2 linked regions of the Struthio camelus genome follow. The protein of the gene in region 2 interacts with the protein of the main gene of each other region in a biochemical or structural test. Links are inferred from orthologs where the notes say so. Each region holds a gene or a part of one and is shown on either strand. Other genes may lie near its edges. The genes, in order: MAPK10 and MAPK8IP3.

Region 1 (7,494 bases), on a different chromosome or scaffold from region 2:
CTTTTCTGAGTTAATGATTCTTGCAGGTGCCCTGATTCAAAACAGGGAGCTTGCAAGAACCACAGAAAAGGGTAGCAGCGCATGAATGCAGGAAGCCAGTTTGTATTTTCATTTAGTATAGCAGTCCAATGAAGTCTCTCCTTTTCTCCCGATAACATAACAGAGCCACAACAATGCTCAACACTGCAATCACTACACTTGTGAGGCGTAATTTTAACAGGGCTATTATGAGCGCAAAATGAAACCAGAGGAATGAAAGGCTCTATGGCTACTGAGTGCTTGCCATAATAAACACATTAAAGACTTGCTTTGTTTTGAAGGCTTATCAACAAGGTGATATTTTCTGCTGTTCAGGAGTTATGCAAGTAATGGCGTAGTCTGCACTGAACTACAGTTTCAGAGACTGAAAATTTCAAAGCTGAAAATCTTTCTCTGAATTCAGTTTTTTCTGCCTGCCAAATCTTAATAAAAATATAACTTTGCGTGCAAGAACAACGCCAACATCCCACTCCTTTGGGCCTGCCTTAGCTCTCCTTTAAATTGCATGAGCTTTACAACAGACCACACACTAGGAGCGGGCCTTACAACACGCCAAATACCACAGCAGGGAAATTCTGGTAGCTCTTCCATTGTTTTTTAAAAGTCAGATCTCCCATTTGAACACCTCCGGAAGATACTTGGCCTTACAGTTATTGATCCAGTATTATTAAGTCTTTAAATAATGGCTAGAGACGTGTCAACCATTTACAGGAGAAAAAAAAATCCCCAAGGTCTGCTCATAAAAAGCCCCTTCTAGCATACATGTGTATTACTAACAATGAGAGGTGCATTTTCTATTACTGAGCAGGAAAACAGGCAGCTGAGGGCAACTAATTTTTCCACATCAAGTGATTTTTGCCCTTACCCCTTTTAGAAGCATCTCTGCAAGCCTAAAGCTCAACAAAACCATAATAACCACAGGATCCTGGCAATTTACGCATGCTCTGTAACAGCAGGACAGAGCAGCGTGTGAGAACGCAGGTTACTGAGAGTCAGGGAGTGAAAACACTGTTTAATGGTTCAGATTGTATCACCTTTGTCATTCACAGCTGTGCCCCCAGAAGAGAAAGGAATTTTGTCAAGTCAACTGAAAAAGATATTTTATGGCACGTTTTCTAGTACGAAGAGTGAGCACAGAGCAGGAACCCCAGAGATTAAAACACTTCGCTCCTTGGTAGCCCCGGTCAGGGGCTACGGAGTAATGTTCCAACACAGGGTTAAAAGGTAAGAGGTTTGGCACACTTGACAGTCCTCAAGGTAAGGTAACCAAATGTAATTTACATGCGAGCAAAGACAAACAGCCCGGTGCAATACACAAGAGGTGCGAAACACAAGACCGCTCTGCTGTATCTTAACCTTTCCCTTTTTCCAAAGCTGACTTGCATGATAAGCTCTGAGCCCTCCAGGAAGCTTATTTCAGGAAGGAAGGAAAGAAGAAAAAAAACAAAACAAAGTGAACAAGAAAAAAAAAAACCCGAACACACACAAACAATATATCAGTTTACATTTTCCTCTTAAAAACTGCCACCCACTCCGTGCCTTCCCTTCCCTTTTCAAACTTTGTATTTTCACATAACGTTGGTCTGCCTTTAAAAAGGTCTCTTGCAAAACTCGGAGTGAATGCATCAGAGAAGGAGAAGCCTGCATTGAGGATATCGTAAAGCTATGCAGCAAAAAGAATCCATGTAAACAAGCTTACAATCACTCAAGGCGTGAAGCCATGGAACATGCCCACTGTAGTTCACTGGAAGCACAGTATGCTTATTAAGCAACGCTGTCACACTTCATCATCCAAGTAAAATTTGTATTATTGCTAATAAAGCCTTTCTGCAGAAAAGAACAAAACATTTCTTCCTACAGCAATAGCTGCCAGATGATTTCCCTGCAAAGCAACATTGATTTCACTGCAGCGTCTACCAAGTGTTGAATTCTCCTTCGCAAAATAACTGCCCTGTAGCGTGCTGTAAACACTTTTCCTATAAGCTCTTGGTTGTTCCATAAAACACAGTGCTTGTTTGTTCGCTTGCACCTGGGAATTATGCAGTAGAGGGATGCCTACCTTAAGAGACCACTTTCTTATAACGGCCCCTCACAGCCCCCACATTCAGCCCATCAACATAGTTTTTCAAACAATCTCTTCCCCCCCCACCACACTTCCTTTTCTTGTTCGAATTCAGCCCCTCTGCAAAAGGCCGAGATTTCTGTCCTCTAGATCTTAAAGCTGCTGATCGTTACCCTCTCTTGTCATTCTTACAAACTCAATTTTTATATGGCTCTACACAAACTATATAACCCACATAACTTATTCATTTCTACTAAATTGCAAGCCAAGATTCCTCCTTCCTCCCCAAACCCCCAAGCAGTATTAGCAGCGATGAGGCTAGGTAAAACACTACTGTTTACATGAGCCAGCTGTTAAAGCACTATCACTCCTGTCCGTGCTGTGCCTCTGCATCGCTCTCACCACCACCAGTCACCTGAAGTGCCCAAACAGAAAAGCTCATACACACCCGAACACAAGACGACGATGGTCCTCTGGCCACAAAATATGTACTGCTGCAGCCTTCCTGCTTCAGTTAGCGGTTTACTTCATTAACCTGCCGCTCCGTCTCTCTCCCCCCTCTCATTTTTTCAAGCAGCAATCAATATTCATCACCCCACCCTGCAAAAGCAGGTTAGTCATAGAATATTAGCATCATCAACCTACCATTCCGTGCTTGCGAACTATATTCTTCTCGTCCAGCAACCTTTTCCCCAAACTGTGATTTTAGGTGGTATTTTTAAACCACATTCCAAACAGGGCCGAGGAAAAGATGGGTTATTATTAATGATGATAATAAAAATAAAAAGAGAGGCAGCTGCATTCAAGGAAAATTAATTTTTTCTTTCAAGAACTAAATAAAAGCCTGGGGGAACAGGTAAAGCAGAATGGAAAAAGGGGAGCCAAAACGTCTGATAATAACGAAATAAAAGGAAAAAAAAAAGAGAGTGGCTTGCTGAATCACGCTCTTTCACTGCCTGGAAACCATTGTGCAGCGTGATGCTGGCTGTACCATTGTGGAACCTACCAGAGGAGACAGGCAGAGAGCTTGGGGAATGGGGCTGCTATGGCAACTGAAAGGAGCACACATGACGTCAAAGCACATAGAAATCTCGGGGGGGGGGGGGCAAGGGGAGGGAGAGAAGAGAAAAGCCTAATCTGCAGCCACAGCTACAGTATCTCCTAGTGAATCAGGGGACAAAGCACAGCAAAGGGAAGCTGAATAGCCTTCTGTAGCACTTATCAGCAGTAGCAGCTCAGGCATCTGCAACATCAGGGAGCTAGTCAGTGCAGAGAGGAGGTAATAACAGGAAGAATTCATTCAGTGCAGATCTGCCCTTTTGTTTGCATTAACTGCTATATGCACATGCATAAATACCCACCCCCCCCAAAAAACACAACTATTTGAAATTAAATTTACATTTTGTTCTCAAGCAGGAAAAGCGCAGAAGGCATTTCCTTTCCTTCGCAGCTATTCAAAGCATACATGGGCAAGCAATATCCCTCTGAGGAGGGAGTCCCTTAGAAGACCAAGAGATGACTATAGATCTCCCCATTACCAGTACATTGTGCCCATTACTAAAACGTCCAAAATCCCAGGATTAACAACCTGGCACTTGCAGAGGGTCCCACAGCACCGGGGTACTATTGCATTTTGAACTGACAGAATCAGAGCTGGTGGTCACTCTTCATGCCTTCTAGCATCAAGAAGAGTTATGCAGCTACCTTGCTTTGGTTAGCAGTTTACTTACTTCATTAATCTGCCTCCTTGTCCCTTTCCTCCTCTCTTATTTTTTAAGCAGCAATCAGTATTCACCACCACACCCTGCAAAAGCAGAGTAGTCACAGAATACTAGCATTAACCACCTACCATTCCAGGCTTACGAACTGTTCTCCTCGTCCAGCAACCTTTCCTTCTGTTTATTACAAGTCACAGGATGTCTCTCCTCTTCTGATATTTACCGGCAAATAAAGTATGCCCATAAGACTATTACACTAGACTAGACTTCCAGGCATTTACATCCAAATAAGACCTGGTCAGAAATATTACACTGAAATTCCACCTTGCTGGAATACATCTCTGTTGAAGCACAAAAATATTTCACTCGGAATATATCTGTCAAATGAAGCTCCAGGGAACCCAAAGCAGCTTTCCCGCTACTGTTCTGAATATTCCACAGGCTTTTCTATGGCCACAGCCAAACACAGTCCGTATGACCCAGAACCGATGCCACAGATTTCATCTGCACCAGGCTGGGTATCTGTTGCCTTTCTGAGGTTAATCCAAGTGCCTTTAGCAGGCCATACACTGACACAGATATAACTGACCAACAACAAAAACGAACAGTGGGACCACGGGTGTAGCAAGTCACTGGCTGCATCTGGGCCCGAGCTATCCCTTTTTCCTTTAATCCTATTACATCCCTCCACTCCTTTCTTCACCAGCCTGTTTCACCTGCGTGTTCTATCAGTCTTTCTTTTGATCTTCATCATGCATCTTTTCCACATGCACATGAACCTATTAATTTCAAACAAAACACAACACACACAACACACTACTGCTCCGCTGATGTTCCTGTTTTTCACTTTACAGCTCTATACTGCAGACTAACAACCACTGCGGAAATTTCCTCCAGGTTTCACCTTACACTCAAGGAGAAGATGGCACAGCAAAGAAGCATGCAAAGGTACATTATGTGCCCAGAGAACGCCTTAGCAATGCCACCAAGGCCCTGAAAGAGGTACAGAGGGCAGCAGTGTTAAAATCTCCACAGCAGCCTGCAAGACCTACACAGCAGACATAGTCAAGCAGTCCAGACAGTTTTAGGGAGTGGAATAATTGGTCTCAGTAATCATGGCATATCTGAACACATAGGCTTCAGCAATCGGCAGTTAACTCAACCTGTATTTTTCAGGGTAGGAGGGGCAGGGAGTAAAGGGCAATTTTTAACTGACAGCTAGAAGAGTAGCAGCAGCTACCATTAGCAGAAAATACAAGTTATGGGGGGTGGGGGGGAAAAAAAAAAACAAACACACACCCATCACAGGATTGGGAAAACTAAAAAAAAAAAAAAAACCAAAACAAAAAAGCAAGTTTCCTGCTGTCATTAAGAACTTCCTCTTTTGACAGTATTAAAATTCACCAAATCCTGTGTGTAGGTTTTTGGAGTTTTTTTTGTCCCCATAACTAAGTTTTTCTTTCTCCCATATCATAACATGTCTTTCCTCTATAGGCCTCTTAGACAGTATTTTCTGCTACCATATGTCACGTTTGCACTGAAGAACTACTTCCCCTTCCAGTACAGATGATGGGTACAACACTCTGAGAAGAGTTTCATCCATTCCAGACTCTGTAGAATGACAAGAGAATACCCTGAAAAGTAACTTCTTTCGTACTTTCAGGCTTCTTTCATACTTTCAGTCTTCTTCAACAATATTCTAGGAAAACACTTAAAGTTACGCAAAATTCCAGAACGAAGCTACCTCTGTGAACAAAGCCTATGTAGTACTCTTTCTTTCTTTCTTTTTTTTTTTTTTTTGGGGGGGGGGGCTGTTTACTGTGAAAACACAAGACTGCTGCCCATTTGGAGAAATGCCACACTTCAGCAACCACAAAATATCCATATACATAAATACATATATATGTACATACAAGTTTATTACTAATTGGGGGCAACAATTTCTACTGTGGTCCACCCACATATTGTAACTGTATTACCTAAAATGTTCAGGATACATTTACAGGGAGAGCTTTCCTGGAGGAAAAACCACTGAATGTGTCAGTAGACAGAAGACGACCTTTGTAAGTGGCATTAACTGCCTACTCCTTGGTGCAGAAAAAAGGAGGAAGGGGAAACGATGTTTCTGACACGATTATGAGCCTGGGAGGGGAGGAGGAAAGGGTTAAAAAAACAACAAAAAGCTTAAGTTCTAACAGAGGTGACAGAGGCTTCAGAATGTAATTAGAGTATCTGTCTTTTGAACAACAGATCTAATGGAAAAGAGCATCTTTTCAGGGGCTGCTTTTACTGATAAAGGGATGCAGCTGCCTAGAGCAATACCAGCATTTCACTTCACCCTTGTCTGTAGCCATCACAGCTCACTTTTTGTGGTGTCTTGTTGAGATGGCTCACTGGCTGGGCCAAGATGCACAAAGATGCAATAAAATGCCGCCTGGCCTGGAATTAAGCCTCAGATTAAAACTGCAATGGCCTGACACAGTGCAGAAAACTTCAGCGAAATAATTTAAAGATGTTTTTAGGCTAGATTCCATTGGCACCCGTTTCCCAGAAGAGCTGCCCTGACCTTAACAGCCCTCCACGACAGGCAAGAGCAGAAGAGGACATGGGCTCAATATAACATAAACTGCACTGAAGTAGATGTTTACAACATGAGGATAGCTACAGAGGTCACCATAAGCCAATTAAGTTCATTTCAGTTAAGCTCTTATACTTCCTTTGTGCTTCTACAGCACTCACAAGCATCAGTCTTTCTTCATACACAGCTTTCTCTCGTCCTATTTAAACAAATTCCCAAATAAGCACATACAATTTTAGTCCAAGAGATGAGCAGTAGGCTGTATCTCTGTGACCTATTTTGATCAGACAGACTGGGAGCACTGAGGTTCGGAGAACAATTATGTCAGGGTTTGCTCACATTCAGTTCTGTATTCAAGCAAACAAAAAGAGAGCACCCATCAAACATGAAATAACAATGTTAAATTGAGATTCTGATCCACCTGCATTGCCAACTCCTTGTTTGCTGATGCTATTTATTTAAAAATAGTAATAAAATTATGAAAAATATATGTAGGTAAGTGATGTAGGTAGTGTAGGTAAGTCTCTTTAAACGAATTAAGCACTGCTTTTAACAGACAGAGAAAAGCAGCTGTGGCTTTGCGCTCACCATTAACAGATACCGTACGAATCTTCTGAAACGGTGCTACCAGGGATCCAGTAGCTACATTACCACCAGCTCCGCCAGAAGCGGAAGCACTCAGTGACCCACGGCATTAACCCACATGAAATTCGGGACTAAACTAGAATTGCTCAAGCAGTTTATGCCATTCCCACTAAAGCCTGCTGTCTCTGCTGCATAGATGGCTGAATGCTGCAGCTCTTAAATTGCCAAAGACTGCAGTCTGGCATATTGAAGTAATCTGAAATTGGCAATGGCTTAATGCACTGGGCTGCAAACCGTGGTGATTCAGGAGCTTCTACATACCCCATTCAGCTCTGCCTCATATAGTTCATACTCTTTTCACCGGCCAAACAGATCACACTCAATTAAGGCAGTTAAAATCCGAATGAGCAAGAGTCTCATTGTTTTAAGGGATAAAATGACAAAGCAATCACTGGAACAAATTCTTTCATCCAAGTCAGTACAGAAACTAGAACTAAGTGATCCCTCAAGAT
Region 2 (8,044 bases):
AAAAGATGAAAAGACTGAGATCAAATGCAGACTCTGGATCTGCATTTAGCCCTCGAGCTCCTTTGTTCTAATCGGAGCTCCAGCACTCCTCCCCTATGTGGTCTTTGTGGTCCACTTAGTACTTCTGCCTTGGTTTCTTGGATCTATAAAACAGAGATAATATTCACAAGAATTTCTAAGAGCAGATTAGCATCTCTAAAATGGGAGTTAACTGAGTATCTTGCTGTTAATCTTTGGTTTTATACACATTGGAAATAGATATTTCTTAAAAAATCATTAATATGCATGTATCTATAATCCCACACAGTTCTTTACTACTTCTGTTTGCAGAGTATGTTATTATGTACAACTCGCTATATTTGGTATTTAGTAGTTAATTTTCATTTTGTTGTGTGGAAAAATTCCCAGTTGCCTGTGTTTTTGCGAGACTTTTTTTTCCTTTTTTCCCCCCCCCTAGATCACAAGATTTTTCTGGATAGGACCACTTTTGATCTTACTGCCTTTGTGCAGTGTTTAGTATGCTGCTGTTGTGGTTCATACTTGGAGTTTTAGATGCTACTGCAGTACAAATACACATGGTAGAAAACGACCCTGTTTAGACTATGAGAATTTCCTCTACCTTAAACGCTGTTTAATTTGCATGGACTACAGAAAGGTTTTCCGGTGGGTATTGTATGCAATTCTTTGATTATATATAACCAGGATGATATTGGTCCTCCTCTGTGAAAATAAACTATTCAGTTTCATCTTCTGTTTCACATTTTCTCCCAAATGCTAGCTTAAGAGATTGATCTATAAATTCTGATGAAAGGAACATTTAAATCCAAGTAAAACACTATTTATCTTGGATTGTTTACAAAAACCATGAGGATACTGTTATTCCTTTAAATTTTTATAAATCTTTCAAAAAAAAGAGTTTGAGGCCTGAATTACCCTATTATATCTTTTATAGAGCTGATATTATATCTTTTCAATTGAGGACATGCTTGAAAGTAGTACATATCCTGTTTCTTCCCTACATGTGGGGTATTCTAGACACAGTGTCTGAAAAAAACAGTTGGATTTATCTGTTTGAGTGCTTTTTTCATGTATGCAGGGAAAATAGCTATATGTAAGTAGTAGTTTAGTAAAAGCTTACTAATAATTACAAAATAGTTTACTAGTACTAGTTTAGTGGATATTTCTTTTCTGGATATTTGATAAGTTGGACATTCAGATTAAACATTTATCATTTTCCCATTTCTGAGGACAATATAAGGGTCACTAGGATCAGAAGGTTACATTAGGTATGCTTATTTGCTATAGTGGGATAGTAAGACTTGTATTATAATAGATCCATAGAAATGTAAGTGGGCATCTCAGTTCTTCTGGGAATAAAATGTTTCAAGTTTTCTTCTATCACGCAAAATCTATTTCCATGTCTACTAAATAACCTGTAATGTTAGGGGTTATTTTCTAGGTGAACGGGCCATTGAGTTTTGCTATGAACAATACACTCATGTATAACTTTGTGGGATATCCCTCTTTTTTGTTGTAGTGTTTGCACCATATGTAGCATTGCCCAGTTGAACTTCAGAAAGACTGTATACTTTGGCTTGTTCAGTTTGCCTAATAAAATCCAGTATTTGGGATTCCAGTGACATAAACTATCGAAAGGGCTAACTAAAGGAAAGGCAGTTAGCAAGATACAGATAACGATTATTAATAACTTTTAAGGGAGAGGTACTGTGAAGTATTGTTTGCCTGTAAAAACGGACCTGTTGAATTACTATGTTTTAGACTAAACCAGCTGTACCACAAAATGCAGATTTAAATAGTGTTGTAAAATACAAATGTCTTGTCTATCCAAGTTTTTCAACATTTAAGCCTTTAACAACAATGCCACGTTTGAAAACCTATCCTTGATTTTAAGCTGTTAATTTAAGCAGTTGTTTGTCTAGTCTCCCTCTTTTACCACCCAGACTGAAAGTGTTTGTTTATAGCGAATGGGCTGTACAGTTCTCTTGGCTCTCTCTTTGCCTGGTTTTTTTGTAAGGTTTTTTTTTTTTTTAATCTTTGCCTGAAATGCTAATTCATTTCTCAGGAAAAGCTCTTTTATCTATAAAGCAACAGTAAAAGGTATCCGTTTCAAGAATCCAGACACCTCAGTTGTCCATTCATTGTGGTTTTAGCTGTCTATTCTTGACATGTAGAAATCTAAGGAAGAAAAAGTAAGAAGACTGGACTTGGATGAACGGCACCTGGAATATAGCCACACCGTAGCTTCCTGAGTGTTAATATTTATGCAGCTAACAGAAATGAGCACAATTAGCATGAAGTCCTGTGTCAGCTCATTAGTCGCAGGCTGAAGTGTTGCCACAGTAATGAAAAAAGGCATCCCTAATAGCTGCCATTTTACTGAAATAAAGCCTGAGATACCAGTTTGGCCATTCTTCCTGTGTGATGGGGTGTACGGGTCTGTTTTGCGCGCTCAGAAGAGACAATATCACCAAGTAAGCACTACTGAAAGGCGATTAACTACCAGAGTAGCGGCAGAGAATATGACTCTATTTTCACAAACATAAATCAAATCTCCTACTGAGGATAGTCAGGTTGCAGTAATGTGATAGTGGATGCTCCAGCAGTGAAAACTATGAAACCTGTGGTGTTTTTGTGAATTAATAGCACTGGAAACTCCATTGTCAAGCAGATCTAGGTTTTGGACAAATTTGGGGTGCTGCAAAGGCAAAGTTTAACTTTTGTTTATATTTTTTTGCACAGAACTTTGCTCCATAATCTTGAAGTATTTTATGTTGTTTAAAAATTAGAAAAGGCAACTATAACTGTAAACCTACATCAGTTTTTAGACTTAAATCTCAGTTAGTTGGCAAACCCTTGCAACTAGAGAGAATCCTTCAAGGAATGTTAGAGATACTTAATTTGAATATTTCTGGTCATCAGGTGATTGAACAGTGACTTCTGCATATAATAAAATCTGGTTAAGGCATTGAGTTATGAAGACAGTAGTAGCTGGGCTGATTAAGAAATACCCCTCCGTCAGCTACTATGTTCATTTCTTCCAATGATGGAAATCACTTACCTAGCTTGTAAACCATTTCTCTTCCTACTGACCAATTCAGATTTGCCTCTTATGAGAGAACACCTAAATGAAAAATGTCTGAATTTCAGATGTATGTAAAGAATTTAACTCACTTATTTGCCTTTTCTTTGTCAGGAATTGTAAAGTATGTCCTTGATATTTCAGAATCCTTCCGCTCCCTCAGCTAAGAATATGAAAAGCGGTGTCCTTCACAGGAAGGTTGTTCACAAGGATATTTCACAAAAGGGCATCAAGAGGAATAATCACGTAATGAAATTTTCTAGGCACGACAGCGAGACCTGGAGAATGCCAATAACATATGCATTTTGGAGCATTGCTTCCCATGTCAACCCCCTCGTTAGAATCTCTACGAAGGTATTGCATGAAATGAATGAGTATCGTATGAATCTCAATTTGCCTCTTATAGTATTTGCTGTGAATGCTGGAGGCTGCCTCCAATTTCTGGCAGCGTGTTGCTTTTCAGAGCGCGCTGCTGCTTAGAGTGATCTATTGATTAATCTCTCTGATTGTGCTGCTGCTCTCAAAAGCTCAGGCGCTGGATTCTTTTTTAGGACTTAAAATGGCGACTTTTGACCTCTGTTTTTGTCTGTTCACTTGTTCCTGTCTGAATAGGTCTTTCTCTTCTTTCCCTGTAGCTACCTTGATCTTGGAAATATAATTACATATCTAACTTGAAACAACTATTGTATGGACGCAAAGGAGTGCCCTGATTTTCGTAGATCCTAAGAAGAAACTTGCAGGTCTGCAGGTGTTTGGAGGTTTTACATTCATAATTGGGTGGCAAAATTAGATTCTAACACTTCTGGCTGGAAGTTGACCCCCTCTGCCAAAAAAAAGTTCTTTCCAGATCAGGCCTCTGAGTGAACAACATCCAATTTAGGTAATGCTTCTTTGGTTTTGGTCAGATGATGGAGAACTTAAAAGTTTAAACGGGTGAGAGCTGAGTAATGGTGACCTTTGCGCTATTTACACTGAAGGCCTCTCTAGTTTGTAGCTTAACATATCCAGCCCTGGGACAACTATTTGCCCTGAAGCAGTTTGCTTTTTTGGCCAGATCGCGATGCGCATGAGTTCGGGTTTCAGTCAGGAAGAACTAAATGAGCCAAGATGTGGGAATCAGCTAGATTTGCTGATTCTTAACCCCGAGGTACAGGTCTGAGGGAAAAGTTGGCTTTGCAGCATGCAGTATGACTTTGCAGCTTCCGTGAAGATGCTGTATTTTGTCCGTGGCTCTGCTGTACAGCGGTCGCTCCGCAGCGCTGAGCGGTCGGACGCGACTCTGGCGCGTAGTTTGCACGCTGTCCTTAGGTGCAGCCGACCCTTCGGGGCGGTCCTTTGTTCGGCCGTAGGCCTTGAGGCAAGAAACTAGTTGCGGATGGGCTTGATCTTAAAATTCCCCCCGCCCTTTCCCCCACCCCAGGTGTCCGTGCAGACGCGCGGGGGACGGCGCGGCCGTGCGGATACGGTTTGCGGATGGATGGGCGACCCGGCCCCGCGCTGGGAGGCGAGCGGGCCCCCCGGCCCCCGCGGCGGTGCTGCCCGAGCTGGCAGGGACCGCGCGGCCCCCCCGCGCCGGAGCCTTCGCGGGCCGCGGCCGGGGGCGCAGCCGGGGCGCCGCTGCGGGCGGCGGCGGCGACGGCGGCGGCGGCGGCGGCGGGGGGGAGGGGGGGGGCGGGGCCGCTCCGCCGCGGGCCGGTCCCCGCGCCGCGTGACACGGCGGGCGGGGGCGGCGCCGCGGCGCCCATTGGCGCGCGGCGGCGGCGGCGGCGGAGGGGCGGGGCCCGGCGGCAGGCTGCGAGGCGGCGGCGGCGGCGGCGCGGGTGGTGCGGCGGAGCTGTCCCCTGGCAGGCCGGCACGATGCTGGAGATCCAGCTGGACGATGGCGGCGTGGGGGGGTACCCGGGCGACGATTACTGCTCGGGCTCCGTCATGTCGGAGCGGGTGTCGGGCCTGGCCAACAGCATCTACCGCGAGTTCGAGCGGCTCATCCACTGCTACGACGAGGAGGTGGTGAAGGAGCTGATGCCGCTGGTGGTGACGGTGCTGGAGAACCTGGACTCGGTGCTCACCGACAACCAGGAGCACGAGGTGGAGCTGGAGCTGCTGCGGGAGGACAACGAGCAGCTGCTCACGCAGTACGAGCGGGAGAAGGCGCTGCGCAAGCAGGCCGAGGAGGTGAGCCGGGGCCGGGCCCCGCCGCCCGGGGCCATCGCGCCGTTATGCCTCCCTGCCCCGTGCCCCGGCGCGGCGCCTCGCCGCCGGCGACCATCTTGTGCGCCCGCCCGGCGGGCACCGGCGCCTCGCGGGGGCACCGGCGCCTGCGCCACGGCCCGCGCTGCCGGGCCCGGCCAAGCGGGCAGGGCCTGCGGCTCCGGCCTGGCGCGGGGCGCCGGCCCCGCTGCCGCCCGGGCATCTCCCGTCCGTGCTGGCGCAGCGGACGAGGAAGCGCTGCCCGGGCGGGCCGGCGCGGGGCCGCCTGCCTGCCGGCTCGGGCTTTCCTGCGCTCGGTCAGGTGTTACCGACCGCGTCTCTCCGCTCCGGTCCCTGGCGGTGCCTCTTCTCCTCCGCAGCAGCAGCAGGCAGCGGGAGCAGGCCTGGGGCTGCCCGCAGGCCTGGCGTTTGCCCGGGCGGCGTGCAGGGAGCCCGGGGGAGAAGCGGACCCCACATATCCTTCGGGAAGAGCACCTGGCCGCCCTGCGGCGGGCGCGCTGCCCGCCCTCGCCGCCTGCTGCGCGGCGCAGCGCAGGCCTGGCCTCTCGGATGGGGCACGCTGCGCTCCCCGTGGCCTTTTTCCACACAGCTAGCAACATATCCTCTTTATGTTTTGGTAGCTGTGATGTTACCGGTTCTTCCCTGCAAACGTATCCTGGTGACGTTCCCTTTTTCTCGCTGGGTGAAGATCCATGAGAAAATGGCTATCTCGCTTGCTCCCCGGGCTTGTACTTTCTCACATGTACACGCAGGATCTGTTTCTCCCGCATCATCGTATGCGTAAAGCCAAGTAGGCAGATACCGCTGCCACTGTTTTTGCCCATTTGAAAGGAGGAAAGAGAAAAATGAACAAAAATAGCTGTGATTCTGTGAATGTGTAGAATTTAGCTTAGAATACCAACCAGAAACACAGATGACTTGAAATTTGTGCTAATTTGTGGTTAAAAAACATGCTTTAAAATTTTTATTTACTTTCTGCCGTGCACTTATCCTGGCTTGGTGGTGGTGGCGGTGGCCACTTTCATTGTAGCGATGTAGTGCAGCAGGAGAGTTTTTAAAATCTCAACAGTAAGCTGTTCATTTGAGGCAAAAAATGCTCTTTGTAGAGTTGGACATCTGATTTTTGAAACTTACTTTTACCAAGCCTGCAACTTGAATCTTAATAACGTAATTTCTCAAGTTAGAGCCTGCAGTTTCTACTGCACTGGGTGTACAAATCTGCATTCATGGAAGCCGTGCCGGAGAGCACTGCTGCTCAGGTGAAGGGGGGAATTTGAAAGTGGATCATAAGACAAAACAGTTCCTTCTGATGGAAGGAAAGCAAAATACTTGGGTTACCAAGACATGGCAATAGCCAAAAGAGAGAGGGGAGGTAACTTCCTGTCTCTCTTCTTGGTACATTTGCTTCTGTCCCTGCTGAAATCAAGAGCGTTCTTTCAGCTATAAATGAGGTCTGTGAAGCACAAGGTTTGCTCTGCAGCCTTCTGAAGTAATAGTCTGTGAACTGGGATTAAGGACTGGTAGTGGAAAAAGTTTGTTACCCAACACATCATTCTCTTTTCTTTACACAATTGCTTTAAAATTGTCTACTTCCAGACTTACGTAGTCTTTCTGAGGTTCAGATTCTGATGTGATGAGCAGTAATTAATAAAATAGCTTTTGAATTCAAGAAGAAGGTAGAGCACTGTAAAATATTTTACCAGTGTTCTTGTTTCTTAATAGTCATATACAGTAGTCATATTCTTAACTTAATGATGAGGAGGATACTCATGGTCTATTACTAATACTGAAAGCTAGAGCCAGTCAATTAAATTTTTAATCCTAAGTTTTAATTATTTATTAATGGACTAATAACTAGTTGTTTAAAATTCTTATGAATGCATATGATGATCCTGAGTACATGAGACGTTATTTATTAAACCTTGCGTAGAGCTGATATTTTGCAGTTAAAAAAAATTTTTTTTACAAGTGCAGTATTTGCAGAGATAGAAACATGCTTTTTTTGGGAGTGAATGAATATTCTTCTTCCACACAGCCCCTATTGAAAGGTCATATGTGGAATACGTGGCTGTTATTTTCCTGTACCTGTAACAAAAAATACATCATTTCTCTGCACCTGTTTGCCATAAGCTGCTTACTGTGTGGTAAACTACATTATGGGTTATGGAGGTGAAAATCTGCATCTCTTACAGAGAAGTCTGTTTTCCATGAATTAATTGTAAACCAATCAAAAATAAAAGAAACAGTTTTCACACCAGACTGTGCATTGCTGTTATGTAGCAGTGCCCATAGTAACCAGGGAAAATCCGTCCCGCTTTCTCATGCAGTGTTCAGCTTTGTGTGCTGTGCCTTCGCCCAGGTCTCTGCCCTGTCCCTTTAAATGGGAGGATCCTCTTCTGGGAACTGGATTTAATCCTAGTCATGATTTCTCTGTGTATATTACTCCTAATTATGAGAATCGCAGTGACACAGAGATGTTGGGAGTTGAAGATGAAAAATTGGTCTTTTCTGTATAATATCATCAAAAGACCCCAAGTCCTAATTACTTTATATTAGTTTATTAATTTGAAATTAAGTAAAACCACAAGTGAGCATTGTTCTGTGGCATTAAAAGGTGCATTGTATTCTCTTGTTAATCACTACTGCAGAAGCAACAAACCTTGCTGTGATGTGTTTATGGAGAAATTGTTTGTGCCCAAATGGGACCCTCTAGGTATAGGGCTACTATTAATA

Evidence for each region.
Region 1: the proteins of MAPK8IP3 (region 2) and MAPK10 form a complex in vitro, tested with the Homo sapiens proteins (3 studies listed by BioGRID, with this or other methods). The link is inferred for Struthio camelus from reciprocal best matches to the Homo sapiens genes MAPK8IP3 and MAPK10.

The regions. Positions count from the first base shown.
Region 1 is NC_090945.1:10,742,220-10,749,713, reverse strand, and holds the start of MAPK10 (mitogen-activated protein kinase 10), read right to left. Parts: upstream 3,105-7,494; 5' UTR 2,747-3,104; intron 1-2,746. UniProt on the Homo sapiens protein: Serine/threonine-protein kinase involved in various processes such as neuronal proliferation, differentiation, migration and programmed cell death.
Region 2 is NC_090956.1:19,854,936-19,862,979, reverse strand, and holds the start of MAPK8IP3 (C-Jun-amino-terminal kinase-interacting protein 3), read left to right. Parts: upstream 1-4,879; 5' UTR 4,880-4,957; coding exon 4,958-5,275; intron 5,276-8,044.